Anolis sagrei: one gene and its partner. The protein of the gene in region 1 purifies or fractionates together with the protein of each later gene. This does not show direct contact. Links are inferred from orthologs where the notes say so. Each region holds a gene or a part of one and is shown on either strand. Other genes may lie near its edges.

Region 1 (15,877 bases):
AACATCCAGACCAGATATTAAAGATCTGTATGGATGCAGGGGCAATTCTGCCAGCAAGAGAAAGTCCCCCCACTTCAAATTCAACTGATGGAAATTGTTCTAGCAGTGGAACACATTAGCAGTAGTTAGATTTTAGTCCCTGGGCCTATTAGAACTCTGAAAAGCACGAATGATGTCATGTGTCAAGACTAGTTCACTATTCTCCTGGACAGCAACAAGCTGCTTTACGTTTAAATTTGGAATCCCAAGTGGACAAGCAGACAGATAATATACAAACTTGTTCCCTATGCATGACAGACACGACTAAACAAAGAAAATTAAATGCATGCACATTCCACTAAGGACTGCCTGCTTTTCAGAAAAAGAAAATGTCACAATCATGTCAAATATACCCACAGATGCTCTCTATTACTATGCAAAAATGCTGAGTTCTCTAACTTACAAGAATGAAAAGACCAGATTTCCACTGCACAAACACGTTTGTAAAGCAAGGCTCATTTATGAAGCCCAAAAAGGCACACAGGCAACAATATAAGCAGGTGAAACGTGCCTGGGTAATTTACAGTAGCCACATCACAAAGGAGCTTAAAAGATTAATCTGGATAGGAATCACGCCTCAGATTTCCAAGTCTATTCTGGACTGAGCTACCTGAACATAATAGTTAGGTTTTGCGACTTTGCTACCATTACTCCGTGAGTGTCCCTGCACCAAATATATATTTTAAAATCATTATTGTATTTATTTATTTACTATATTTATACCCTACCCTTCTCACCCTGAAGGGAACTCAAGGTGGCTTACAAATTATGGCAAAAATTCAATGCTGCATCGTGCACATAACAATAAACATACCATATGAAATTATTAAAAAGTTAAAAATACATGAACAGTTAAAGCATATAAAACAGTAAAATACAGATTAAAAACTATACAAAGTGCTGAGTCATGATTTCCAAACTTCTTAGTTTTCCCATAGTTGTTATTCAGACTGCTAGGTTAGAATGATATAGTAGCTAAAGCTACTGTAGAGGGCTGTTTAGACATATCAAGCACATGATTTTTCTGCATGTTTAAAATTATGTACAAGTACAGAGTCTAACTGACAGACTAGGTTTTAATCATTTCCCACCTTGGATTTTTTTTAATGCCTTACACTAAACAGAGTGCATATATTTGATTTGTAATGCTAGCAGTAATGAGCTGTTTTGAGTTTCATGAACAAAACAAATAATATTTTTTAAAGTGTGCTTGGAGCTTTCTTCAACTGGTTATTTCTCAAAAGAGTATAGCCTCAAGTGCTCCAATTCAAAAACCAATTTGCCAATTACAATTTTCTTTTTATTACCCCATGTCATATCCACACACTGACCTGCCAGAAAAATTCTGGAGCACATTCATTTTGACTCTAACCAGTTTAAACTTTAACAGTTCTGACTTGTACTGTGGAGTAAACAAGAATTTAGGCCTATTACTCAGCAAAAGGGTTTCTGCTATTAAATCATACGTATTTATTAACTAAAATTCAAAAAATACATTAACCACTCTGAATTCATAGGCAGCAATTGCTCATATGTTTGTTAAGTTGAAATGAATATGTATGGTGTCAGTAGACTAGATTTTTTAAAAGAGCACTACCCAAGGGAGGAAACATAATAAACTCATGGGCAAAGGGCAAGATGCCATTTTTTCACAACCCATGTGGGCTTCATTACCTGGTATGACAAAATAATTTGTTTTCCTCATTTCCCCTTCCAAATAGTGACAATAATTAATATCACATCACTTCTTGATATCATTTTTAAGCTAGAACAGAGAGAAAAGAAGGTCTTTGGTTATGGTGGGGAGTTATCTGGAAATTCTGGGAGATAGTTTTTTGGAGTTTGTACATATTCAAGTAGAGAGACATTGTGATGCAATGGTTTGGACATTGGTCTATAATTCTGAAAACCGAAGTTTAAAAGGCCACTCAGCTATGGAAACCCACTGGACAGTGATATTATCTCAGCCGCAGAGGCAGACAAAGGCAAACCCCGTTTGAACAAGATTTATGAAGAAAGGTTCCTTGATAGGGTCACCTTAGGTTCAGCTTAAGTCAGAAATGTATCGAAGGCATACAACAAGAATAACATATTTGAGAAATATTTGGGTTTTTTAATGTTTCACTCAAATATCATTCAAATTCTTTTATTTAAAACTTGGGAGCTTCAGGGAACACAAACATGGGGTTCAGGGGCCACAGACAGTCTACATTTTCCCCAGCTCTTATCTTGTACATCTAGAGAGCTACACAGAGTCATTTAAAAGATTATTACTGTGAAAACCTCTGAATTATAGCACCAAACTTTTGTAATGTTTTGCTACTGAATTTTAGCAGTCAACTGCACCAGACAAACACACTGTCACACAATGGTGCCCGATATTTCTGAACTGGGGGGCTTGTGAAGGCATCCAAAGGGATTTAGGGGCTGCATGTACCCATGGGCTGCATTTCCCCACCTGACTCCAGCTGAAAGGAAATTGCACATGCTGCACAAAACCTATGCTGACAAATCATTAACAGCATTGCTAATTGACTGAAGAGGAATAGTGTTGTCTGAGATTGGATTTAATCATTACTACCATTCTGGTCTTTGGTGAAGCTCAGTGCAAGAACCAAAACTGTCTCCGACTTTACACTGCAACTTGAACTTGTTGGCCAAGGTCCAGTAATAAAGCTCTGTGCCTTGAAAAGCATGATTTCAGAAACTGCAAGGTTTCTATTAGTAATTAAAGCTGGCTAGCATTTACAGCCCAGCTGTCATTAGATTTTTGCAGATATCTCAACTTGGGTCTGTCATTTGCATTTAATAGAATCAAAGAACTGGAAATAACCCCACAAGGCTATACAATCCAATCTTCTTATCATGAAGGAATCCACAACCGAAAAATTCCTGACATTTTATTTTTGCATGGTTGAAACCTGATGAAGGTAAAAGATTAAAACCTATGTGATGATCCAGGAAAGAAATCAATGTTTTAAAAGTGTGAACTAGTGCTTGCTCACCCTCCTTCACTTTCCCCATCATCTGTATTGACTGTTCCTGAGCTGGCTGTGAAATATATGGAGCTAGATCCTGTAGAATCACTCCTTTCTCTGGGATATGGAAAACGCCTTCGACGAATAACCTTCTGGCTTTCTTCTAGATGGGATCTGCAAGAGGAGATTAGTATGGTGAAAGGTTCACTTCATTCTTTTTTAACTCTCCCTTGCCTAAAATCAAAAATCATTTCATCTTGTTTAGTAACATTTACAGGCATGGGCAAACTTTGGCCCTCCAGGTGTTTTAGACTTTGACTCCCACAATTCCTACAGCCTATTGGAACTGAAGTCCAAAACACCTAGAGCGCTGAAATTTGCCCAAGCTTGATTTAGAATGAGTCCAGTTAAATGCCTGTAACATTTACCAACTATAATACAACAATTTCACTTTACCAGCAGCTACAACTGAGAAAAAATGCTGACAACAATATCTGCAATTTGTGATATTGGTCCTGAAATGCCCACTAAGAAGTAATTTTGTAATATTTGGTATCATGTTTAGCCTTTTCCAACAAGAAAAGAAAGTGGGCAGGAAACTGCCCACAAGCATCCCAAAACATGGTGAAACTTGAGAAAATAACTGTCTTTGGGGGGGGGGGGGGGCTACTGATGTCCCAAAGAACCTCAAAATGGCCTTGGGTGCCACATTATTCCTAACCCTGGTTTATCATTATGTGTGAAACAGGCTCTTCACAAGAGACATAAGCATTATGGAAAAGGCTAAACATGACCTTTTTTATCATCATTCTACTGAACCAACTTTATACCACTGAGAACAACTTTATACCAACCTGACTTCTCCAATAATATCTCCTGCCAAACTTTGTAGGCTATTCCGTAACTCTTCTACTTCATTCCGCAGCTCTACAAGGCTTCTAAGCAAGAAGTCCAGACGGTTCAGCACTTCAGCTTGTTCTTCACGTGTTAAAAGAGGTGCATATGGGATATTATCACCACCCCCTACTGGTCCTGTTCTCATCAATGGAACTAAAATGAGAGAATAAAGTAACTGCAGTAAGACTACTTCATTATTTCTGTCCAAGATATGTTGCTGCTACTTCATTTTTGGGATTTTAAAACTAGGAATAGATGATATTTTAAAAACAACTTTTTAGAAGCCATCAGCTACCCCATGAATCAGATAAAAAGAACTTGGAATTAAAAAAAAACCAGGAAAGTGAAAATGATATATTCAGTTATACAGGTAATAGGCTTTTATGCAAAACTCTTAAAATCCCTGTATATTCAACCATGTTTCTCATACTAAATTAGGTTTATCACACTTTTTGTTCTACAAGAAATGCATGACAGGCAGGCACAATATGATCATCTCTTGACTAGGAATATGTATTTAACTTAGTCACAGCAGTTAGTTGAGAATGTTGCCCTATTTTTATAAGAATATACCAAAATGTGCACATGTATTCATATTTGTTTTACTGAAAAAGCTGAAGATGTAAAATAAACCATTATGGAAGAAAACAAACTTTGTTCAATCCTACTTGAACAGTCCTGGTTATTGATATCAAAATCTTTATCGTGTTCTATCCACTATGCACACACATTAAAACTGCAACTGATGACATATTTTGTGTTATATAAATAAATGAAAATTATAATTTTCAGAGAAACACAGCTTTAAGTGAGGCACTTTATACCTTCAACCCATGGTCCTGCTATAACTGCATCTGCTATACCAGTCTAACACTAGCATAACATGACTGTAAATGTATAAGTACCCAAGCACCAATGTCATTCCACAATAGGTACAGGGATAAAACTGAATGTCATGAAACTCGCAGAAATCTTGTGCAAAATCTCACAGCATCCTCCAATCATCATACTGTCCAACAGGGCACTTCTACTTAGGTATGAAAGGTCAATCAATGCACAGCAGTAGCCAAATTACCTCATGGTGATAGCCAATACAGCACACAAAACAAGTGAAAAAGAATTTTCTTTCTAACACACACACACACAGAGAGAGGTGCTCGACCATACTCAGTGTGTCTAAATGAAAAACTTAGAGGAATCGTAAGTCTGCTTTAGCAAAAACATCCTCATATAAACAATTTCTGCAAAACTATGAACAACTTATTTATATTGCTGTCTCAATTATAGAACTAGTAGTGGGGGCGGATAATAGATCTTCTACGTACATATTCAGCTTATCACACTCATTTAACTTTTGTCCACATTCTCAAATATTTAGGAAATATTCTGGGAATGTCAGAGGTTAAACCGAACACTTAAGGTGAAATTCAAATACGCCAATCAACTAACAGAACAGATGTCATTGGAGGAATCAGCTTGCCTTTGTAGCCTACCACATGAATCTCCAATGTCCTTTGAAAGAATTACATAGAATGCATGGTACTTGGAAGTCACATTATTGTACGCATGCCTCCTTCTTTTCTATGCATTCACCTTAGTGTTTGAAAAGTGTTGTGGAAAGGGAGCTGCAGACAACTTTTAGGCATCAAAATATATCCTTGTTTGGTAAAGTTGGCAATAGAGCTATAGTTTAAGTAGGAAATCTCTCTAAAATAAACAATGGGGACTTTCAAATTTGTTTACGAAAACATAATGCATGATTGTCTTAGACTCAACATGCACTAAAATAAGCAAACAAAAGAACACTGGCATGTTAATTCCAAGTTCAAAGCAGGGAGGACACAATATATACATCTGTATACATCACATATAGTCTGAATAGCTAGTTTTTGTATAAACAGATGTGGAATAGAAAACATGGCAATCCTACCCTGATTATAACGCTGCAGATGTTCTGTGTGTTCCTGAGGCTCCAGTGCATTGTGCTGACTCTGTAAATTGACAGGTCTTGGTTTGCCTTTATGCCAGGGCTTTTTTCTCTTCTGCTTGTAAAAGTAGTAGAAAAGACCTATTCCTGCAGCTGCTCCTAAGACCACACCAAGTCCCACACGCAACGCTCCCATTTTGGACATGATGCATCTGAAGCAAATAAATCAGAACACATTTATTTATTTTCTTATTATACTGTATTTACAGCTGTTCCTTTGCTGTTAGATTTCAGTGCAGAAAGCATAAATATCAATATAGCCATTGATCATGTAAGACCTGGACAAAAATCCAGATACAAGACTGCTCTGAAACCTTTCCAGGACAAGGAAGGTATTAGCAACAAGCCAGACAATTTCACTGGCACTGGCTTAATAAAACAGAATGCCAATGTCATCAATATTACAAACAATGTGGAAGATATGAACCCATACAATCAGCCCAAGCTAAAGTTCCAAATTTAGATTTCTTTTGCTGGTGTTCAGTGGCACTTAACCCACTTACATGTAAATACATCTATTCCATTTTATTATAGTGGGCTCTTGGAGTCCAGTGGTTCGTTTTAAAATAGCAAGTCAAGGTTTCCTTTTGGTATATGCATATTGTCAGCCCTCAACACACTCCTGCAAGACGAATCACCAGTTACTTCCCAGGGTGCATCTATACCAGGCATGCGCAAACTTGGGTCCTCCAGGTGTTTTGGACTTCAACTCCCATCAATCCTAACAGTCTCAGGCCCCTTGCTTTTCCACTTCAGCCTGTTAGGAATTGTGGGAGTTGAAGTCCAAAACACCTGGAGGGCCTAAGTTTGCCTTGCCTGATCTCCACTGTAGAATTAATGCAGTTTGACATGCTTTAACTGCCATGGCTCAATGTTTATGTATTGTCTGTCCTTGTTCCTTGTTAATTGTACAATTGTCATTGAATGTTTGCCGTATATGTGTTCTGTAATCCGCCCTGTGTCTCCTTGGGGAGATAGAGTGGAATATAAAGTATATTATTATTATTTAAAACACAACAAGATTAGTCCACAGCAAACAAGATCACTCTGCTGGCTGTTGTATTGGATCACACATTGGACATTTCCCAAGAGTCTAGGACTGTGTGATGTATCGGCGAATAATGTGTGCAGATCCCAGTAGGGTGGACTCTTGCAGCTGACAGATGGTAATTTTGTCAGCACTGATTGTGTTTTAAGTGCAGGCCAAGGCCTTTAGGCACTGCACCCAGTGTGCTAATCACCATTGGGATCACCTTTACTGGCTTGTGCCAGAGTCTTTGCAGTTTGAACTTTAAATCCTCATATTGTGTCAGCTTTTTCGGTTGTTTCTCTGCAATCCTGCCGTCACCTGGGATTGCGACATCAACGATCCATACTTTGTTTTTTAACACGATTGTGAAGTCAGGAGTATTATGCTCCAAAACTCTGTCCGTCTGAATCCGGAAGTCCCAGAGGACTTTGGCGTGTTCATTCTCTGTAACTTTTTCCGGCTTGTGAACCCACCAGTTCTTTGTCGCAGGCAGATGGTATTTGTGGCACAAGTTCCAATGAATCATCTGAGCAACCATGTTATGCCTCTGCATGTAGTCTGTCTGCACGATCTTCTTGCAGCAGCTGAGGATGTGATCTACTGTTTCATCTGCGGAGTTGTCTTCAGCATTCTCAGCCAGAGTGCTGGACCCTCCTCAAACTTTCTAAAGTATTGAACCATAGCAGTTAAAGCGGTGTCAAATTGCATTAATTCCACATTGCAGATGCACTCCTCCCCATACCCCTGCGTGAGTGTGCGTTTTTAACACTGTGAGGCATGGCTGAGGGGAGTTTTCCTAGCCCAAGGGCGACCAAGCCAGCTGGAAAGGGGCTTCAAGGCTCTCCCGACTCCAGCCCAGGCGCTTTGAAAACTGGGCCAAGCCCGACTGGCCATGACAGCGCATTTCTTAGGCCACAGACAGGCGCAGAGGGAGGGAAGAGGGGCCTCAGAGAGGGCAGGGCAGGGGCCCAGGCACTGGGGCTTCTGGGAGTTGCTCCTACACGCTTAAATGGAAGGAGGTCCATTGTGCTCATGGGGAGCCCCAATTCCAAAGCAGCTGTACGGTCAAAGAGCTACAAAACAAGGCGGGCGTTTGTGTACTTCTGCGGTCCCTTCCATCCTCCCTTCCCAAGCCCAGTCTGTCTCAGGCGCACGGAGGCGGGTCCTTTGAAGGCGCTTCTTCCCAGCCCTGGCACGAAGGGAGGAACCCCTCGCGGCGCTCTTTCCAGCGTGACCCCCACCACTACGCTTACTGCTCGGTATGTCCTCATGCGGCCACCGTCCGCCTCGCTCTTCTCGAGCCGCCCCTTCGGCAAAACCTTCACCCTTCCCCGCCGGCGCGCAGAAGTGACGCAACGTGCTGCCTCCCGCCGCTGCTTAGCTAACGGCACAACCCACTGTTCTGTCAAGTAGAGAATGGCGTGGAGAAGTGACGCAAGCAGGCGGGGCACGCCTCTCTTTGGAACGTAGCATACCCTCGAGGCAGGGGCCGGGCAAAGAAGAGGGAGGGAGAGAGGGAGTGTGCGGGTCATATCAAACATGTGGGAGCCTCTGATGGCGCAGTGGGTTAAACCCCTGTGCCGGCAGGACTGAAGACCGACAGTCGCAGGTTCAAATCCGGGGAGAGGCGGATGAGCTCCTTCTATCAGCTCCAGCTCCTCATGCGGGGACATGTGGAACACATCTCACCATACTAAAACAGTGGATGTGGCTCTTAATGAGACATGCCGCATTATCACGGGGTGTCTGCGCCCTACATCACTGGAGAAATTACACTGCTTAGCCGGTATTGCACCACCTGACATCCGCCAGGAAGTAGCAACCAATAGTGAAAGGACCAAGGCAGAGACATCTCCAGCTCATCCCCTGTTTGGGTATCAGCCAGCACGCCAACGGCTTAAATCTAGACATAGTTTTCTAAGATCTACAGAGACACTCGCTGGAACACCTCAGCAAGCGAGAGTCCAAAAGTGGCAGGCTCAAACCCAGCACCTCAACCAATGGCTGATACCAAATGAGAGACTCCCTCCTGGGCACACAGAAGACTGGGCGACTTGGAAGGCATTGAACAGACTGCACTCTGGCACCACGAGATGCAGAGCCAACCTTCAGAAATGGGGCTACAAAGTAGAATCCTTGACATGCGAGTGTGGAGAAGAGCAAACCACTGACCACCTGCTGCAGTGCAGCCTGAGCCCTGCCACATGCACAATGGAGGACCTTCTTGCAGCATCACAGGAAGCACTCCAAGTGGCTAGATACTGGTCAAAGGACATTTAACCAGCTACCAAACTCACAAGTTGTGTATCTTTCTGTTTGTTTGCTTTGTTCTGTTAGAAATGTAATATAATGGACTGGTTGCTCTGACACGACAAATAAATGCGGGGACATGAGAGAAGCCTCCCACAAGGATGATAAAACATCAAATCATCCAGGCGTCCCCTGGGCAACGTCCTTGCAGACAGCTAATTCTCTCACACCAGAAGCTACTTGCTCCTGGCATGACAAAAAAAAATCAGAGATGTGGACGACGCAGGCTCCTTGCAGGAAATAACAAATACTTGGAGGAATTACTGTAGAGCAGTGTTACCCAACCTTCCTAATGCTGCGACCCCTTAATACAGTTCTTTATGTGGTGCTGACTCCCAACTGTAAAATTATTTTATTTGCTACTTCATAACTGTAATTTTGGTACTGTTATGAATCGTAATGTAAACATCTGATATGCAGGACCAAACTTGGGACAAATAACCGGTACAGCCAAATTTAAAATCTGGTGAGGCGAGGGGGGGGGGGGTTGATTTTGTCATTTGGGAGTTGTAGTTGCTGGGATTTATAGTGAACGTGCAATCAAAGAGCATTACGAACTCCACCAACGATGGAATTGAACCGAACTTGGCACACAGAATGCCCATGACCAACAGAAAATACTGGAAGGGTTTGGTGGCGTTGATCAAGAGTTTTGGAGTTGTCGTTCACTCCAAAAACTCTTGATCAATCCCACCAAACCCTTCCAGAGAGCACTTTGGACTCAAACAATGATGGATCTGTGTGAGGATTTGAGAAAAGGCACAATATTGTGATGGGTTAACTGGAGAGGCATGTGTCACTTTCAAACCAGGAACCGATTTTTCCCCCAAATTGTATTACATAGTGTTGTTTACATAACTTTAAATTAGAAGTCATTGAGAGATAGGTATAGCAGCCATTTAAGATATAGGCCTGACACCAGGTGACTTCAAGAAAATAACAAAGATTTGTAGGAATTACTGCAGAGAATCAAGAGAGAAAATATTAGCGAAATCAGACTAAGAAATCAGAAGAAGACTAGGACGTAGAAAGGCAGCTTGGGAAGGAACTGGACAAGATTCTGAAATGTCAGGATACATAATTGAATACTAAAGTTAGGATAGTCCATACGAGCATCTTAATTTCTATGTGTGGTTGTGAAAACTGGAGAGTAAAGAAAGCCAATAGGAAAAGCATCAACTCATTTGAAATACAGTGATGGAGAGGAGTTTTACTGATACTATTGATTACTAAAAGGACCAATAAACGTGTCCTGGTCTGAACATTCCCAAGAAGCTGAGACTGTCCTTTGGGATATCGTGAGAAGACAGGACTCAGTAGAAGTCAGTAGGAAAAGAGGAAAACTGTACTGCCAATAGAGATACTCAATCAAAGAAGCCATGGTCCCAAGTTTGCAAGACCTGAGCAGGGCTGTTTATGATATCCTCATTCATTCAATTGCCAGAAGTTGAAGTCAGTTTCATGGCCATTAACAACAACAACAACAAATGCATGGTGTGGCATGTCTTCATTCCAAAACTGGTAACCTGTGGGGAAAACGTGTATATTCCTTAACAATGCACTGTTATATATAGGAGTACTGGGAGATACAGGAGCTCTGAATTGAGAAAGAATTGGAGTTCAATGTTTCTATCTATATTCAGTGGTAGATTCAAAATGTTAACGTTGAAGCCCTTACTGGGCACAAGCTGTGTAGTTCCAACATAATTTCCACATGCTTTCATCTCCACCAAGCTTAGGTCTTTTGTAAAGAAAATGGGTCTTGTTTGCTCAAGATAAAACCTACAAAAGGAATAATTCATACAAGCACATTGTTTTGGGAATATCTCTTCTTCCTCCAGTGAGGAAAATGTCTAATCAGAGTTTATAGTAGAGTTGAATTATGACAGAAGGGATGGCCTTGCTCATCACAAAAATTGTACCAGCAATCCCTGGCTTCACCATACCACAAGGTAAATGATGGAAGCTAAGTGTCTGTGAGCCTGTTTAGGTTTATTTGCCACTTGAAACATTTTAGCTCATTCTGCAATTAAAACAAATCAGTCAAAACATTTAAAAAGATGACTACAGGTATCTACTGAGAGACCAAAATTCATGGATGCTCAATTCCCATTATATACAGTGGTGTAGTGGTGTAGTAACATGGCATCCCTTTATATAAAATTGCAATGAACTCAAACAAGTGATGGAGAGAGCCTGAAGATCTGTGAAATGATAGGAAGCTAGAACTGAATATACCTACACATCTGTGTAATGCTTCGTGTGCAATAAAATCAAATTTTGTTTTGTTTTGGGGATTTCCCCCACAATTCTTTGGAGCCATGATTGGTTGAATTAATGGGAGCAGAACCCATGAATACTGGGAAAGACTGAACTATAATTATTAGACTGAGGAAGAGAATATCTAACCTTCTGGATAGTGGTGGACTGCTCCTCCTGTCAGACCAAGTTAGAATGGCCAATGGTTTAGAATAATGAAAGTTTTAACTTAACAACATTTGGCAGGCTACCAATGAATTGGACTCCAACCGACAAATATGTTCATTGGGACCCCCTATCACAGATCTCCATTCAAATTAAACAGAAAACTTCATGTCTCAAGATAATAAACTCTTAAATAAAAAGTTAATTGAATAAAACCTTTTTAGATCATATCTACTTTGGAAAAATGTAATCCACACTTACGTATGATTGCATTTCTGTCTCTGTGGCAAGATATCTTTTTTAAAAAACTGAACTACCTCAAAAGAATATTTTTATTATAAGCTTCCCTATGCAAAGCCAACCACAAAGTGACATTTTGTGCATGAAAACAGAAGTAGATTATAAGTGAAAATGATGTTAATTGCACATGTGCCCCAATAACATGTCTTCAACATGAAGAATATCCAACAACATTACATGGCTATCAGATCTCTTTAGTTAGCTGTAATGTAACGATTATAGTAATGTAGTGATTATAATAACTATAATGATGTGATCGTCCCTTTAGATGTTTGTTGGCACTCAAAAAAAGCTATTTTCAAATGGAAAAAAATTGAGACAATATTTTTGTTACCTTACCACAGCGGCTAGAATATGTATAGCCCGATTCTGGAAAGCAGAAGAAACAGCAACAATAGAAAACTGGATTGAGAAAACAATTGGCATTATGAATATGGACCTTTTGACCCAAAAACTCACCCAAAACAGATCAATATCAAACAGAACGGATTGGAGTAATTTTATTAAATTCCTAAAAAGAGAACAAATACAAATGGTCATAAAAACAGAATAAAGAAATATCCCGGCTAAGACAAGATACACGCAAAGAGGCATATATATTAGGAGAAATATGTCGGAAAAAATAATTAATACCATGGAAAGCGATCTGGAAGTGATAAGGGGAAATGTATAAATGTACGTTTGTAGTGATGCTGGTCTCTTTAATTTTTTTTAATTTTTTTTCTTCACCATTGCCCTTTCTCCTCCCCTACACTCTTATACTCCTACTTTTCTCTTTATGATGTTCACTTACTTTGACTGTATCAAGAACCAACATCATAGGTATGTCTAGGATATTTTAATAATTTGTTTGTCTGATATGTGTTTGTTTAAGGTTGTTTGTGTCATTTACCAATAAAAATATTTTGAATAAAGAAAGCCCAGAGTTCTGGTGATACAAAATGTCCTTTTACAGATACCATGAAAAGGTGTTATCTAAGGCCTACAACATCTTTGGATAGGAAGGGGCTGCAGTGCAATCATTTCATGTGTTGGATAGGATTTAGAACATTGGAACTGAATAATACTAAGCACTCTATTATGTCTGATTTCTCAGCCTTTTAACTTCTTCTGAGATGTCTCCAAACTTTTGAGACATTATAATTGCTAGTCGTTAAACTTCAGTTGTTTCTAGACGACAATATTTAGTTTTAATCACGTTCAGATACTATCAGATCATGACGTAAGGCAATTGCTTAAAGCTATGAGTTTTCCAGTCATCTAGTGCTGTTTGAAATTTGCTCTTGGCCTGTCAAGGCTGCATTGCTGACGCAGAATTGCTCAGTGAAAGCAAACAGAGTAGATTTCATTTGATAAATCTGTAAGATTGAGTGGGAAATGGAAACAATTTTGCCTTAGGGCTTCTCTGTCTTTTGTTATCAGTGAAGAAATAATAGAAGCTCAAGGCGCTGAGAGTTTGAAGCTGGATTTTTACGGATATTAAAGATCCTATCTAGACAATATTGTAGATCTTAGCTCAGGCTGTATTTATGGAACTTGGCTAGTTTGGGAACATCAGCCTTGTAAAAACTATTTCAATGGGTCCTTGTTGGGTTTCAAAACAAAACCCAACGAGCAATAATGTTCGAATTGCAGAGAAATCCTGCTATAGCACAGCTGTTTTAATGATTACCACCACCATTGTTTTCATATGGGATATGTGCTGGGTGGGGGGTTTGGGGAAGTATGAGTATAGGACCAAAATAACTTTTCCAGACTTTGCTATCAGTTAAAATGGCTATATGAAACTTCCAAATTCAGAAGTAGTGTACTCCTGAGTACCATTTGTTGGAGAGTAGTAACAGAAGTAGGCCATTGTTTGCCCGATTTCCTTGTAAATGAAGGGGATTAAAAAAAAAAACGTTTAAGGGTTGTGAATGGAGTTTAACAGTAGCTTGAACTCAGCAGTTTTTTTTAATGACACAGTGCTCAATGGACTCTGGTTTCATATAGTCTAGAGTTCTACACTAAATGAACAATTAAACCAGTATGTCCTATTTTGTAGCTTATCATGATGCTGTGTCTATTATATCAGCAGGACATATCAAGATATGGAACACGGCTCAAAATGTTTTTACATGTTCTGTTTACCTTGAAAAAACTTAACAATATTTCTTATGACTAAGCAAAATGTTTTATTTAACATGGCTTTATCTCATTTAGGCATTATGGTTACTTTCTGACTTTCCGTCTTCATGGCCTTTCAAGATAATTCTGGTGGCTTACAGAAAGCAACAGAATGCTGGATTAGAGGGATCAGTAGGTTCATACAGCAGCCCAATTTTCAAATGTCTATATGAGATAATGTTGATGGTCATTTTAGCCACATTGCTTTCCTATAAATGCCTTACAAAAGACACCAGTACAAAAGAGCTTGGGTCGGACATATATAGACAAAACATACACAAACACACATATGTAGAGAGATCAGGGAGAAGCTTGTGTGTGGGTGTGTGTGTGGGTGTGTGTGTGTATATATATATATATATACACACACACACAGAATCCAAAAAGAGGCTGGTCCGATTCCTTCTGGGGATGCTTTAGCTGGAGATCCTGCATTGAGGGAGGAGTTGGACCTGTTGTTTCACAAGGCCCATTCAAGCTCTATGATTATGTGACTGGCAACATGTGTGCCTTTCTATGAAGAATGTTCCTGTTCTTAGTTGCAATCAACCCATCCTTCCAACCAGAACATTCATTTCCCCCACTTGAAACTTAGTATGGATATTGACTAGGCACTAGTGAGTTGCACATTCAGATTATTTTATCTTTTGTATGGAATTATTTAAGTTAGTTAGATTCTGTCTGTTTTATCTTTTTTGGTTTGTACATAGACACTTTCTCAAACATTAAAGGCAAAGCTACAGATAGGCACTGGATAATTATTTATCCAGAATTGCCCAAGGGTATAGTTTGCTTCCCTTTGAAGGGCTATTTGGAAAAATTGAAAGAGAAAAGTTCCTGCTGCCTGGTAAGTAATGGATGGGGAAGAGTGAAGAGAGGGAAAGGTATAGTGGAGGAAGAGAAAGAAAATTAAGTGCTAAAATGGAGTGAAAACCAACAAGTTTTCATTCCTTGCAAACCTGAGTACTTTGCCTAGTAAATTATACCGTCCCCATCCCCCCATCCCCCCAATCCTTAGTTGCCTCTGCTTTAATTTATTGTTAGTAATTAGATTAGTAGAAAATGTTATTTATTGGAATTCCCTCTTCTGGTATTCTACTGAGGACCCAGACGTTTCTTATTGTAGATCTTATTTCTTCCTGCTGACAGGAAAGTTCTTAATTCTTTAGTCATGACTTCGAAATGAAAACCATTGTTCCATCATGAAAAACAAGCACATGACATCATTATATGGAGCAGGATCAAAGGAGATAAACTGTGGCAAGGTAATATTCTAGGCCAAGGTCATCTTAAGTAATTAAGAAGAATATTAGAAAGGAAATTTAATTATATTTGATGTGTCCTAGTTTTAGTAAAAACGTAATGTTTTGAAATTCTATAGCTTTTATGTGGCAGGACCTGATGACACACATATTTGCTAATTTGTTTTTATTTGAAACTACAGTACGTGCCTAGACATTTTGTCTTGTAAGAATATTCTGTATTAAACACAATCAAAATGGCTATGGCTGAAAGTTTGAACAAAAAAACAGAAAAAGTGAATCTTGGACAAAATACAGAGTGTATGGCTGAGACACTGTATCAAGAGATATTTAGTTATTTATCACATAACTATATGTCTTCCGAAATATCCCCCAAAAAGACTAGCAAGGAGCAGACACACACAATCAACATGGCCATTTTCAAGTTGTCAGGAGTGGAAGGGATATATATCCAACTATTTTCTTGTAGCTGGACGCATTTCAA
Region 2 (15,394 bases), on another chromosome or scaffold:
GCTTCTGGTGTGAGAGAATTGGCCGTCTGCAAGGACGTTGCCCAGGGGATGCCCGGATGATTTGATGTTTTTATCATCCTTGTGGGAGGCTTCTCTCATGTCCCCGTATGAGGAGCTGGAGCTGATAGAGGGAGCTCATCCGCCTCTCCCCGGATTCGAACCTGCGACCTGTCAGTCTTCAGTTCTGCCAGCACAGGGGCTTAACTCACTGCGCCACTGGGGGCTCCAGTCATGTTAGTGAATAGAGAAAGAGATATAACTAGACTGCACCTCCCAGCATTCGTCTCTATGGTCATATTAGTGAATAGAGACGAATGCTGGAAGGTGCAGTCTAGTTATATCTAGAGCAGTAGTTCTCAACTTGTGGGTCACAAAATGTTTTGGCCTACAACTCCCAGAAATCCCAGTCCGTTTACCCGCTATTATGTTTTCTGGGAGTTTTAGGATTTCTGGGAGTTGAAGGCCAAAACATCTGGGGACCCACAGGTTGAGATACACTGACCTAGAGGGCTGTGCTTTGCCTATTATTATTATTATTATTATTATTATTATTATTAGTAGTAGTAGTAGTAGTAGTATCCTGCTCAAAGATGACTCAACACAGGATATAAATATATAATAATAATATGTATTTTGGAGCAATGGAGAGAAAACAAGGCAAGGAAGAAAGATTAGGTATGAAGGTGGGGTAGAGAACCAAGGTAGGAATTTTCCTTCCTCCTTTTTAATACTAGAAAGCAGGGTCATCCAATAAAGCTGAATGGTAGGAGATGTGGGACACCTAAAAAGAAGTGATTCTTCACAGTAGAATTCTTCAAAGATGTGCTGATGGCCACCAACTTGGCCAAAAAGGTTCTCACCTGTGAGTCCACAGGTGTTTTGGGCCTACAACTACCAGAAATCCCAGCCAGTTTACCAGCTGTTAGGATTTCTGGGAGTTGAAGGCCAAAACATCTGGGGACCCACAAGTTGAGAACCACTGACGTAGAGGGCTGTGCTTTGCCTATTATTATGATGAGTAGTAGTATCCTGCTCAAAGATGACTCAACATAGGATATATATACATATAATAATATGTATTTTGGAGCCATAGTGAGAAAACAAGACAAGGAAGAAAGATCAGGGGGGTGGAGAATGAAGATAGGAATTTTCCCTCCTCCTTTCTAATACTAGAAAGCAGGGCCATCCAATAAAGCTAAACGGTGGGAGATGCAGGTCACCTAAAAATAAGTGATTATTCACAGTAGAATTCTTCAAAGATGTGCTGATGGCTACCAACTTGGCCAAAAGGGGGTTAGAACAGTGGTTCTCAGCCTTTGGGTTCCCAGGTGTTTTGGGCCTACAGCTCTCAGAATTTCCAGCCAGTTTACCAGCTGTCACTACCTCTGAGGATGCTTGCCATAGATGCAGGCGAAACGTCAGGAGGGAATGCCTCTAGAACAGTGATTCTCAACCTGGGGTCCTACAACTCTCAGAAATCCCAGCCAATGTATCAGCTGTTAGGATTTCTGGGAGCTGAAAGCCAAGAACATCTGGGGACCCCAAGTTGAGAACCACTGCTCTAGAACATGGCCATATAGCCCGAAAAAACCTACAACAACCCCCAGTTTACCAGCTGTTAGGATTTCTGGGAGTTGAAGGCCAAAACATCTGGGGACCCACAGATTGAGAACCACTTGGTTAGAACAATTCATAGCAATTTACAGTCTATCTCCCCATGGCTATTTATGACTTCTAGTACCAGAGGAGGAGCCTCCAGTGGCACAATGGGTTAAACCAGGGGTCCTCAAACTAAGGCCCGGGGGCTGGATACGGCCCTCCAAGGTCATTTACCCAGCCCTCGCTCAGGGTCAATCTAAGTCTGAAACAACTTGAAAGGACACAACAACAATCCTATCTCATCAGCCAAAAGCAAGCCCACACTTCCCACTGAAATACTAATAAGTTTATATTTGTTAAAATTGTTCTTCATTTTAATTATTGTATTGTTTTTAAGTGTTTTTGCACTACAAATAAGATATGTGCAGTGTGCATAGGAATTCATTCATGTTTGTTTTCAAATTATAATCCGGCCCTCCAACAGTTTGAGGGACTGTGAGATAGCCCTCTGTTTAAGTAGTTTGAGGAGCCCTGGGTTAAACCCTTGTCTATCAAGGGCTAAACCCTTGTCAGGACTGCTGACCAATAGGTCAGCGGTTCGAATCAGGGGAGAGCGGGTTGAGCTCCCTCTGTCAGCTCCTGCTCCCTATGCAGGGACATGAGAGAAGCCTCCCACAAGGATGGTAAAACATCAAACATCCAGGCGTCCACTGAGCAAAGTCCTTGCAGATGGCTAATTCTCTCACACCAGAAACGACTTGCAGTTTCTCAAGTTGCCTCTGACATGGAAAAAAAAGTACCAGAGGAAGTACCTCTCAGTACTAAATTCTGAAAGATATAAGGAATGCTACTCCTATTTGTGGTCTATCCAAAGACACATGGTTGGCCACGGTAGGTAAAGGATTTTGGACTGGACTAGATACAGGCCTCTCTGGTCTAAGCAATGCTGTTTTGTTTTTGTTTTTTAAAGCTCTCTTTCTCTCTTTTAAAACCAGCAGTATACTTTGCACACTGGGCCAAAGGTCCCATAATCTGTTGCATCACCAGCAAAAACCTGTCCCACATGTTCCAGGCCACAGTACAATCTATGTATGCAATGTCTGATGGTTGCTGGATAACTGTCAAGCTGCAGTAGGGAATAACTGGAACATGGTTGAAAACTTGCCAGACAAAAGTGCCATGGGATCTCCTTCCTATTAAGCCTGCTTTGTTTTCCTGCTTGGAGCATCAAAAATCAAAAGGGCAGCTGAGATTCGGGCTTATCTAAGAGAAAACTTCACTGGATATTGTGGGATTTCTTAGGCCTGACTCCAACTCATCCATGAAACTCAATGAGGACTTGTTACATCGGAATTTCTTTAAATCCCCCAATAAAGTGGGTCTACTCTGGCAAATGGTGTAATGGGTTTAACCCTTGTGCCAGTAAGACTGCTGACCGAAAGGTTGACGGTTCAAATCCAGGGAGCGGGGTGAGCTCCCGCCTGTCAGCTCCAGCTTCCCATGCGGGGACATGAGAGAATTCCTAAACATGACTTTTATTGAACATGCCATTTCCAAACAATAAACAATGTTTATACTAAAATTATTTTATGCTTTGTCTGAATGTTTACATTTTATGTATGTCTTATGTTTAATGGTTTTAATTATTTTAAGTTCGTAGTAATTAGTTATTATGATTTCTTTGAGTACTGTATGATGGCATTGAATTTTTGCCATTAGAAAGTTGTAAACCGCCTTGAGTCCCCCCAGGGTTGAGAAAGGCGGTATATCAATACAGTAAATAATAAATTTACTGCCCTGGTGATGCAGTGGGTTAAACCACTGACCTTCCTGACTGAAAGTTTGGTGGTTTGAATCCGGGGAGCAGGGTGAGCTCCCGCTTTTAGGCTCAGCTTCTGCCAACCTAGCAGTTTGAATACATGCAAATGTGAGTAGATGACTAAGTACCACTTCTGCGGGAAGGTAACTGTGTGCCACGCAGTCATGCCGGCCACATGACCTTGGAGGTGTCTATGGACAATGCTGACTCTTTGGCTTAGCAATGGAGATGAGCATCACCCTCCACGCCCCCAGAGTCGGACTCAACTAGACTTAATGTCATATGTTTTCCCCTTAATATGAAGGAAATATTCATTTACCTTTTTACCTTAAATAAAAAAACTAGATTATGGGATCGTTAAAATATGAACCTGGAAGAATAAAAATGGAAATACACCAACTCTTCCCCGTCCCCCAAATAGTGCTTCTCTGACTTGAATGTCAACGGTTCGAATCTGCAAGACAGGGTGAGCTCTCGTCTGTCAGCTCCAGCTCTCCATGTGAGAACATAAGAGAAGCCTCCCAAGGATGGTAACACATCCAGGTGTCCCCTGGGCAATGTCCTAACAAATGGCCAATTCTCTCACACCAGGAGTGACTTGAACTTTCTCAAGTCGCTCCTGACATGGAAAAAAAAGTGGCCAATGGATTTAACCCATTTCCGTTTGGAGAATCCACGCCAAAATAGAAAGTCTAATAATGTGACACCATATCCATCAGATACCTAAATGAGCACCAAACAAAATGCTTTCAGCAGCCTTTAGCAAACTTGAGTAGAAAACACCCTTAGTGGAGATATTGGGGCTTACTTCTAAATAAGCATAACTGAGGTTGGACCTGTTATCTCAACCAACGGGAGAGAACAGAGTTGTCAGGAAACATTGTCATTGCAACATGGGTGGGTGGCTTCTTTCCTTGTATAACATGGACCTGGCAGCACGTCTCCACCAAAACATGGTTTGTGCAATACATAGCTTGGTTGGGGTCCATTGATTGTTTTCCCCTTAATATGAAGGAAATAATCACGCATTTTAGGCCCTTAAGATTTCCCTGAGGCTGCTTCTTCATAGTATCTAACATCACACAAGCGCAGCAGATTCCTATGCAACCCAACCCACCCACCCTGCAACCGTAAGGGATCCTGGGCACCTCAATCCTCAAAGGACTGCCCACAAACTAAGACCAAGAAACACAAGGGATGGAGAAAGAACCAGGCTTCGTCTGAAAGGGAGCTTTTCCAGGAAGGATTTTGCCTCCCCACCAAAGAAGAATGAAGGTGCAAATCCAAAGGAGAGACACTGAAGAGAAGGATGAAGGTGCAAACCCAAAGGAGAGACAGTACCTCCTTGATTCAGAGGAAAGGGGGATTGGACTGGAAGGCCCTTATGGTCCTTTCCAAAGTTTATGATGCATTATATGGAGAGTACAAACTCACAGGAGACCATATAATGCAGTGTTTCTCAACCATCCTAATGTCACAACCCCTTAATACAGTTCCTCATGTTGTGGTGACCCTCAACCATAACATTATTTTCGTAGCTACTTCATAACTGTAATTTTGCTACTGTCATGAATCGTCATGTAAATATCTGATATGCGGGATGTATTTCCATTCATTGAACCAAATTGAGCACAAATACCCGTTACACCCATATTTAAATACTGGTGGGATTGGAAGGGGGATTGATGTTGTCATATGGGAGATGTAGTTGCTGGGATTTATAGTTCACCTACAATCAAAGAGCATTCTGAACTCCATCAACGATGGAATTGAACCAAACTTGACACACTGAACTCCCATGACCAACAGAAAATACTGGAAGGGTTTGGTGAACATTGACCTTGCATTTGGGAGTTGTAGTTCACCTACATCCAGAGAGCACTGTAGACTCAAACAATGATGGATCAGGACCAAATTTGGCACGAATACTCAATATGCCCAAATGTGGACACTGGTGGAGTTTGGGGAAAATAAGACTGTGACATTTGGGAGTTGTAGTTGCTGGGATTTATAGTTCACCTACAATCAAAGAGAATTCCGAACCCCACCAATGATAGAATTGAACTAAACTTGATATACTGAACTCCCATAACCAACCGAAAACACTGGAAGGATTTGGTGGGCATTGTCCTTGAGTTTTGGAGTTATAGTTCAGCTACATCCAGAGAGCACTGTAGACTCAAACAATGATGGGATCAGGCCCAAATTTGGCATGAATACTCAATATGCCCATATGTGAACACTGGTAGAGTTTGGAGAAAATAACTTGACATTTGGTAATTGTACTTGCTGGGATTTATAGTTCACCTACAGCCAAAGAGAATTCTGAACCCCACCAATGATAGAATTGGGCCAAACTTCCCATAGGGAACCCCCATGACAAACAGAAAATACTGTGTTTCCTGATGGTCTTTGGCGACCCCTCTGACACCCCCTTGCGACCCTCTCCCAGGGGTCCCGACCCCCAGGTTGAGAAACACTGCATTATATGGAGAGTATAGATTCACAAGAGTCCATATAATGTATGGTATGGTGGTATGGCAGTGGAGATGAGGCCCAAGGCTTTGGTTCTCTAGAAGGAGGCTTCTGCTGTGTGCCATCCTCGCCCTCCTGGCCACCGCACCAACCCAAAGGAAGGAGAGATTGCGCAGCGGCTTTAAGCAGAGAGGGAGAGGAAAGAGGGCTGGGAAAGGAGGGAAAGGAGGGAGGGAAAGGTAGCTCAGGTCCCCCCCGTGCTTTTTCCACTAAGGACATTTTAGGAGGAGGGAGGGGAGGAGGAGGAGGGCGAGCCCCCGGAAAATGGCTGCCGCTGGAGCTGAGCCCTTTTTGGCACCGCAGCAAAGCGCGCCGCTGCCTCTCCTGCCTCCACCCCGGCGCATCGGATTATATCCTGGCCGATCTAGACAGATATCTTTCGGTTTAAGGGAGGGAGAAGCAAGGGAAGGGGCAAGAGGGGGAGCCAGGCTGTCCCCCGGCCGAAGGAGAAGCCCAAAAGGAGGAGGAAAAGGCGAGGAAGCAGCTCAGGTTAGGAAGGAAGCAGCCCCTCTCCAAGTTACCTTTGAATTTGAGCTCATGCTGCGGCTCCAGGCTCAGGACCTGCTCGGTTTTCGCCATGTTTCTTCTCCTCCTCCCCTTTCCTGCTGTTGCTGTTCCTTCCTCCTGCTGTTGCTTTTGCTCCTCCTCTTCCTCGGGAACCAAAAAAAAGATCTCTATATGCAGAGCTGTCTTTATTAATTATATATGTATAATATATAGGAAAAAAGCAAGAGTAAATCCCCTTTGCGCGCGCAGAGAGAGAAGCAGAACACAGGCGCGCATGCAAAAGGGGCGCGCGTTTTCGCCCTCCTTTTTGTGCAGGAAAGACGCCCTTTCCCCCTTCTTTTTTGGGGGGAAGGAAGGAGGAAAAAGAGAGAGACTTTTCCTTCTTCTCTTCTCTTTCTCACTCTCTCTCTTTTGGGCAGGGAAGGAGAGAGAAAGAGGCTGAGCCGGGCGCGCTCCCAGGGAAAGAGGGAAAGGCGCTGCTGTCCTGCGTTGCCCGGCCCAGGAAGGAAAGAAGGAAGGAAGGAAGGAGGGAAAGGAGGAGAGGAGGATGGGAGGGAGGGAGGACGCTGCAGCAAGGAGAGAAGGAAGGGAGGAGGAAAAAGAGGCGGGGCGAAGGGGAGCTGCAAGCTGACGTCTCCGGAGAAGGAGGAGGAGAAGGAGGAGAAGCAGCCAAGCCCACCTCCACCTCCTCCCTTTTCTCCCCAAGGAGGCTGCCCAGGAAGACAGGAGGAGGAGGAAGAAGCCGCGTTGATTGGATCTATTTAATTATTCATTGCCCTTATTTTTCACCCGCCTTTCTCCCCATAGAGAGACTCCAGCAAACCATCACAAAAGTGATTTAAAGATGTGATAACCAGGCATAGGCACACTTGGGCCCTCTAGGTATTTTGGACTTCAATTCCCACAATTCCGGCTAGGAATTGTGGGAGTTGAAGTCCAAAACACCTGGAGGGAAGGCCCAAGTGTGCCCATGCCTGGGCTAACCTAAAATATAATAATAATAATAATCTATATAAATAAAAATGTAATGAAACAAAGATGGCAGGGACCTAACAGAAGCTGAAGAGATCAAGAGAAGGTGGCGAGATTATACAGAAGATCTGTATAGGAAGGATAATAATATCGAGGATAGTTTTGACAGTGTGGTGAATGAATTAGAACCAGACATCCTGAGGAGTGAGGTTGAATGGGCCTTAAGAAGCATTGCTAACAACAAGGCAGCAGGAGACGACGGGATCCCAGCTGAACTGTTTAAAATCTTAAAAGATGATGCTTTCAAGGTGATGCATGCCATTTGCCAGCAAATATGGAAAACACAAGAATGGCCATCAGACTGGAAAAAATCAACTTATATCCCCATACCAAAAAAGGGAAATGCGAAAGACTGCTCCAACTTCCGTACAGTGGCCCTTACTTCTCATGCCAGTAAGGTAATGCTCAAGATCCTGCAAGGAAGACTCCAGCAATACATGGAGCGAGAGTTACCAGATGTGCAAGCTGGGTTTAGAAAAGGCAGAGGAACGAGAGACCAGGTTGCCAATATATGCTGGATAATGGAGAAAGGCAGGGAGTTTCAGAAAAACATCTATTTCTGCTTCATTGACTCTTCTAAAGCCTTTGACTGTGTGGATCATAATAAATTGTGGCAAGTTCTTGGTGGGATGGGCATCCCAAGCCACCTTGTCTCTCTCCTGAGGAATCTGTACAAGGACCAAGTCGCAACAGTAAGAACTGACCACGGAACAACAGACTGGTTCAAGATTGGGAAAGGCGTACGGCAAGGCTGCATACTCTCACCCAACCTTTTTAACTTGTATGCAGAACACATCATGCGATGTGCGGGGCTGGATGAATGCAAAGCTGGGGTAAAAATTGCTGGAAGAAACATTAACAACCTCAGATATGCAGATGACACCACTCTGATGGCCAAAAGCAAGGAGGAGCTGAGGAGCCTTCTAATCAAGGTGAAAGAAGAAAGCGCAAAAACTGGGTTGCAGCTAAACGTCAAAAAAACCAAGATTATGGCAACAAGAATGATTGACAACTGGAAAATAGAGGGAGAAAATGTGGAGGCCGTGACAGACTTTGTATTTCTAGGTGCAGAGATTACTGCAGATGCAGACTGTGGCCAGGAAATCAGAAGACGCTTACTTCTTGGGAGGAGAGCAATGTCCAGTCTCGATAAAATAGTAAAGAGTAGAGACATCAGACTGGCAACAAAGATCCGCCTAGTCAAAGCCATGGTATTCCCTGTAGTAACCTACGGATGTGAGAGCTGGACCTTAGGGAAGGCTGAGCGAAGGAAGATCGATGCTTTTGAACTGTGGTGTTGGAGGAAAGTGCTGAGAGTGCCTTGGACTGCGAGAAGATCCAACCAGTCCATCCTCCAGGAAATAAAGCCCGGCTGCTCACTGGAGGGAAGGATACTAGAGACAAAGCTGAAGTACTTTGGCCACATCATGAGGAGACAGGAAAGTCTAGAGAAGACAATTATGCTGGGGAAAGTGGAAGGTAAAAGGAAGAGGGGCCGATCAAGGGCAAGATGGATGGCTGGCATCCTTGAAGTGACTGGAGTGACCTTGAAGGAGCTGGGGGTGGTGATGGCCGACAGGGAGCTCTGGCGTGGGCTGGTTCATGAGGTCACGAAGAATTGGAGACGACTGAACGAATGAACAACAACATAAATATAAATAGATGTATAAATATCTGGGCATGCTACAGTTGGACACTATCAAGCATGGGCATGTAGAAAATGGTCAGCAAAGAATATATCCAAAGAGAAAGGTTTTGAAGAGCAAATTAAATGGCGGAAATATGATCAAGGCTATCAACACCTGGGCCTTCTCCGTCATTAGATACACTGCTGGAATTGTGAACTGGACACAAGCAGAGCTGGGTGATCTGGACAGAAAAACAAGAAAACTCATGACAATCCACTACGCATTACACCTGTGTAGTGATGTCGACAGACTTTACCTGCCCAGAAAATCAGGAGGCAGAGGGCTTCTGCAAGTGAAACAAATGGTAGAAGAAGAGAATCATGCACTGGCAGATTATGTGAAAGGCAGTCAAGAACCAACATTGAGGGAAGTCAATAGTAGTAAACTGCTTTGAGTGCAAAAGACAAAGAGTAAATATCATAAAAACACAATCCAGAGCAGAAGAGAAGACTGGCAAAAGAAGGCTCTCTATGGACAATTCCTGGGAAAAATTGAGAGCCAAACTGACAAAGAAAAAACATGGCTGTGGCTCACAATTGGAACTGATTCTGGCAGCCCAAGAACAAGCCATTAGAACAAATGCCATCAAAGCCAGAATTGAAAAGTCGACGACAGATCCCAAATGTAGACTCTGCAAGGAAGAAGATGAAACAATAGATCACATCCTCAGCTGCTGCAAGAAGATCACACAGACAGACTACAAGCAGAGGCACAACACCGTTGCTCAGATGATTCATTGCCACAAATACCATCTGCCTGTGACAAAGAACTGGTGGGATCACAAGCCGGAAAAAGTTACAGAGAAAGAACACGCCAAACTCCTCTGGGACTTCCGGATTCAAACAGACAGAGTTTTGGAGCATAATACTCCTGACCTCACAATTGTGTTAAAAAACAAAGTATGGATTGTCAGTGTCGCAATCCCAGGTGACAGCAGGATTGCAGAGAAACAACTGGAAAAGCTGACATGATATGAGGATTTAAAAATCGAACTGCAAAGACTCTGGCACAAGCCAGTCAAGGTGGTCCCAGGGGTGATCGGCACATTGGGTGCGGTGCCTTAAGACCTTGGCCTGCACTTAAACACAATCGAGGCTGAGAAAATTACCATCTGCCTGCTGCAGAAGGCCACCTTACTGAGATCTGCATGCATTATTCGCCAACACATCACACAGTCTTAGACACTTGGGAAGTGTCCGACGTGTGATCCAAATACAACAGCCAGTAGAGTGATTCTGTTTGCTATGTTTCAAATAATAATAATAATAATAGATCCATTTAGTTTTCTTGGCATACTGGGGTGGGTTGCCATTACCTTCCCCAGAGATCGTGTTCGGTCTGACCTTTCTGCCATGACTGTTCCATCTTGGGTGTCCCTTCACGGTTTCACTCGTGGCATCATTTAAGTGCTCAAGCTGCTGCATCACGGCAAGGTAACGATCCTTTCCGGGACAAGGATATGTCAAGGCTGTATACTTTCACCTAACCTATTCAACTTGTATACAGAACACATCTAATGAACAAAGGTTGACAGCTACTATTCAGTATGTTTAGAACCGCAGCCTTACATCTCTGCTAAGAAGGGAAATGTCATTTAATTCTATGGGACTTACTCGCAAATGTGTAATCGCCTTCGGGCTGATATGGGCAGGATAGAAATAATGTAAATAAATAAATAAATGTGCGGGGCTTGACGAATTCAAGGCTGTAGTTAAAATTGCTGGAAGAAACATTAACAACCTTAGATATGCAGATGATACCACTTTGATGGCCAAAAGCAAGGAGGAGCTGAGGAGCCTTCTAACCAAGGTGAAAGAAGAAAGTGCAAAAGCTGGGTTGCAGTTAAACATTTTTTTAAATAAAAGATTATATCAACTGGACTGATTGATAGCTGGAAAATAGAGGGAGAAAACATGGCGGTAGTGACAGACTTTTTATTTCCAGGCTGAAGACTGCAGAAGACATTTACTTCTTGGGAGGAGAGCAATGACAAATCTCAATAAAATAGTGAAGAGTAGAGACATCAGGCTGGCAATGAAGATCCGCATAGTAAAAGCAATGGTATTCCCCTTAGTAACCTATGGATGTGAGAGCTGGACCATAAGGAAGGCTGAAGGAAAGAAGATTGACACTTTTGAACTGTGGTGTTGGAGGAAAATTCTGAGAGTGCCACGAGAAGATCCAACCAGTCCATACTCAAGAAAATAAAGCCCGACAGCTCATTGGAGGGTAGGATATCAGAGGCAAAGATGAAGTACTTAGCCATGTAATAAGACAGGAAAGCTTGGAGAAGACAGTGATGCTGGGGAAAATGGAAGGAAAAAGGAAGAGTGGCTGACCAAGGGCAAGATGGATGGATGTTATCCTTGAAGTGACTGGCTTGACCTTGAAGGAGCTGGGGGTGGCCATGGCTGACAGGGAGCTCTGGCGTGAGCTGGTCCATGAGGTCACGAAGAGTTGGAAGCGACTGAATAAATGAAGAATAAATTATTATTATTATTTGAAAAAATCTTTATTTGTACCCCACCACAATCTCAACTCACTCCTGACATGAAAAAAAAAAACTGCATTGGCAATCCATAATATCCGTATACCAAATTTGCTTCCTTTTTCTCAGCTTTCTTCACTGTCCACTTTCACAGCCATACATAGAAATAGGAAATATGATCACATGGACAGTCCTAACTTTGGTATCCCATGATATATCTTTACACTTGAAAGATGAGAGGATTAGTAGCTCCCTTTTTCACATGACTGAGTGTTAGGAAATATGCTCAGAGGTGTCAGTTTTAAATCATTCTAAGCCACCCCCTGCCAATCCCCTGCCAAAAGAATAACACTTGGCTTGAAATATATAGGCAGGGATGTAAACGTTACAGAAGAATGTGTGTAGGCAGGAATTACACAAGGCATAGACTCCCCCAGAAGTCAGGGTGGGCACAAGAATTAGGGCATTCCTTCAAATAAGAACTGTATACTTTACAAGCTTGGGAGTGATCCTGGATTCATTGCTGAGCCTGGGACCCCAGGTTTCGGCAGTGGCTAGGGGAGCTTTTACACAGTTAAAACTTGCGCGACAGCTGTGCCCGCACCTTGGGAAGTCTGATCTGGCTACAGTTGTCCACGTTCCAGTTACATCACAGATAGATTACTGCAATGCACTCTACGTGGGGCTGCCTTTGAAGATGGTTCGGAAACTCCAGCTAGTCCAACGGGTGGCAGCCAGATTACTAACTGGAGCAACATACAGGGAGCATACCACTCGCCTATTATGTCAGCTCCACTGGCTGCCGGTCCACTTCCAAGCTCAATTCAAAGTGCTGGTCTTGACCTATAAAGCTCTAGATCAGAGGTCCTCAAACTATGGCCTGAGGGCCAGATATGGCCCTTCAAGGTCATTTACCCATCCCTCGCTCAGGGTCAACCTAAGTCTGAAATGACTTGAAATCACACAACAACAACAACAATAACAACAACCCTATCTCATCAGCCAAAAGCAGGCCCACACTTCCCAATGAAATACTAATAAGTTTATATTTGTTAAAATGGTACTTCATTTTGATTATTATATTGTTTTTAAGTGGGTTTTGTTTTGCACTACAAATGTGCAGTGTGCATAGGAATTCATTCATGCTTTTTACAAATTATAATCTGGCCCTCCAACAGTTTGAGGGTCTGTGACCTGGCCCTCTGTTTAAAAAGTTTGTGGATCCCTGCTCTAGACAGTTCTGGCCCAGCTTACTTGTCCGAACTCATCTGCCTCTACACCCCACCTCGTAATTTAAGATCATCCGGGGAGGCCTTGCTCTCGCTCCTGTCAACATCGCAAATGCACCTGGTGGGGACAGGAGACAGGGCCTTCTTGGCTGTGGCCCCGTGCCTGTGAAATGCGCTTCCAAATGAGATAAGATCAGCTTCATCCCTCCTGGCTTTCAGGAGGAAATTGAAATCGTGGTTTTGGGACCAGGCTTTTGGACAGCAGACATAATTAGCACTTTGATTGGAAATTGACTGGAATGGTGTTACAGCTGATGTTACTGTTTATTGTTTTAATTAATGCTTTATGTACTGTTTTTAATTAATGCTTTATACATTTTAATGGTTGTTGCATTATTGTAATTGTTTATATGTAGCGGCATCAAATCGCTGCCAAAATGTAAGCCGTCCTGAATCCCCTTTCTGGGGTAGAGAAGAGACAGGGTAGAAATACCAGAAATAAATAAATAAATAAATAAATAAATAGTCTCAAGCGCAGCCAGTGTTGCCAAGGGTCAGAGTCTTTAGGAATTGAAGTATAAATCATCTTCTGGAAAATCCTTAACATACAGCAGACATACTACTGAGCAACTGTACAGTAGACATACTCCTGAGGACCTTATGTTATTAGGCATGTGTAATTTAATTAGTTCATTAATCCCACGTTATCCCCTTCTTTCACTTTCATTTTCTTTTGTCCTCTTTGTTCTCCCTACTCTCATAATATTGATTGTGTGTATCGGGGACAGAGACCTGCCCCCCCCCTCCCCTTTTGTTATTTTGTAAAGTAATCTGCAAAGTATTGTGCTGAAAATTGCTACAATATACCTGTTATATGCAGACTGTAGCCAGGAAATCAGAAGACGCTTACTTCTTGGGAGGAGAGCAATGTCCAGTCTCGATAAAATAGTGAAGAGTAGAGACATCAGACTGGCAACAAAGATCCGCCTAGTCAAAGCCATGGTATTCCCTGTAGTCACCTACGGATGTGAGAGCTGGACCTTAGGGAAGGCTGAGCGAAGGAAGATCGATGCTTTTGAGCTGTGGTGTTGGAGGAAAGTTCTGAGAGTGCCTTGGACTGCGAGAAGATCCAACCAGTCCATCCTCCAGGAAATAAAGCCCAACTGCTCACTGGAGGGAAAGATACTAGAGACAAAGTTGAAGTACTTTGGCCACATCATGAGGAGACAGGAAAGCCTAGAGAAGACAATTATGCTGGGGAAAGTGGAAGGCAAAAGGAAGAGGGGCCGACCAAGGGCAAGATGGATGGATGGCATCCTTGAAGTGACAGGACTGACCTTGAGGGAGCTGGGGGTGGTGACGGCCGACAGGGAGCTCTGGCGTAGGCTGGTCCATGAGGTCACGAAGAGTCGGAGACGACTGAACGAATGAACAACAACAACCTGTTATAAAATTGTTCAGCTATCCTTCTACCCAAAATCCACCTTTAAATAACAGGCCCTGGCTGGTAGAACTATTTGTGAACTTGAGATTTAAATCATAATATCTAAATGGAATAGAAAATACAATTGCTACCAAAATACCCAATTCCTGTTCCGTTCAGGAGAAATATCATATATATTTTTACTTCTGTCTCATGGCAGTTTTGTTACACCCATTTATTTTCCTGCCCAATGTTGCAAAGGAGTGGTTGCAAAACCAGATTTTCCGAATGATTCGGGTTTTTTTGTTTTCATGAGATATGTCATTGCTCATCTGTTTAATTTCAGTGTCTTTTCACCATTTTTTCTAATAACATGCTCAGAAGTTTGAAATTATTGCTTACCAGTTTGGAAACAGATCTACCACATCCCTTCAATAAAAGCGAACCATGGTAGTGAATTGCAGATTCTCAGACAAATCACAAAGTATACTGAAATATTTGTTGTTGTTTATTCGTCCAGTCACTCCCTGTTGGCCGTGACTACCCTCAGCTCCTTCAAGGTCAAGCTAGGAACTTCAAGGATAACATCCATCCATCTTCCTCTTGGTCGGCCCCTCTTCTCTTTTCCTTCAATTTTCCCCAGTATCATTATCTTCCCTAAGCTTTCCTGTCTTCTCATTACTGAAGTATATAATTGTGTGTTTTTAGAGGCTATTTTTTACAACCACAACACCTATAAGATTTCAGACTCTCATGAGTGGGTGGGTTGAAACAATAATTAAGCATATAGAGTCGTGACAAGCGTTTCAAAATTCGAGTCCCGAAGAGTTGTGGATTTGCAGTTCACATAATTCCTAACAAACTACATTCATGAGGCCATAATAAATCAACAGGCAACTTGAAAGCACACACATTCTAGTGTTGCAAGTATATATATTATTGATAAGAGACAATTTTGTGTTTTTTAAAAGTAGTGTATTGCTGGGACTTGTCCTGTGGAGATCACCTGATATTACTCATGTGGCAGGTGTTTAATTAATATTGTTTAATTAATATTGTTTTATCATCCATGAT

The links.
Region 2: the proteins of RMDN3 (region 1) and VAPB purify together in Homo sapiens (affinity purification with mass spectrometry; 4 studies listed by BioGRID and IntAct, counting the BioPlex papers as one, with this or other methods). This does not show direct contact. The link is inferred for Anolis sagrei from reciprocal best matches to the Homo sapiens genes RMDN3 and VAPB.

Annotation. Positions count from the first base shown.
Region 1 is NC_090021.1:289,526,811-289,542,687, reverse strand, and holds the start of RMDN3 (regulator of microtubule dynamics protein 3), read right to left. Parts: upstream 8,359-15,877; 5' UTR 8,185-8,358; intron 6,054-8,184; 5' UTR 6,047-6,053; coding exon 5,845-6,046; intron 4,068-5,844; coding exon 3,872-4,067; intron 3,192-3,871; coding exon 3,045-3,191; intron 1-3,044.
Region 2 is NC_090024.1:228,266,773-228,282,166, reverse strand, and holds the start of VAPB (vesicle-associated membrane protein-associated protein B/C), read right to left. Parts: upstream 7,059-15,394; 5' UTR 6,533-7,058; coding exon 6,475-6,532; intron 1-6,474. UniProt on the Homo sapiens protein: Endoplasmic reticulum (ER)-anchored protein that mediates the formation of contact sites between the ER and endosomes via interaction with FFAT motif-containing proteins such as STARD3 or WDR44.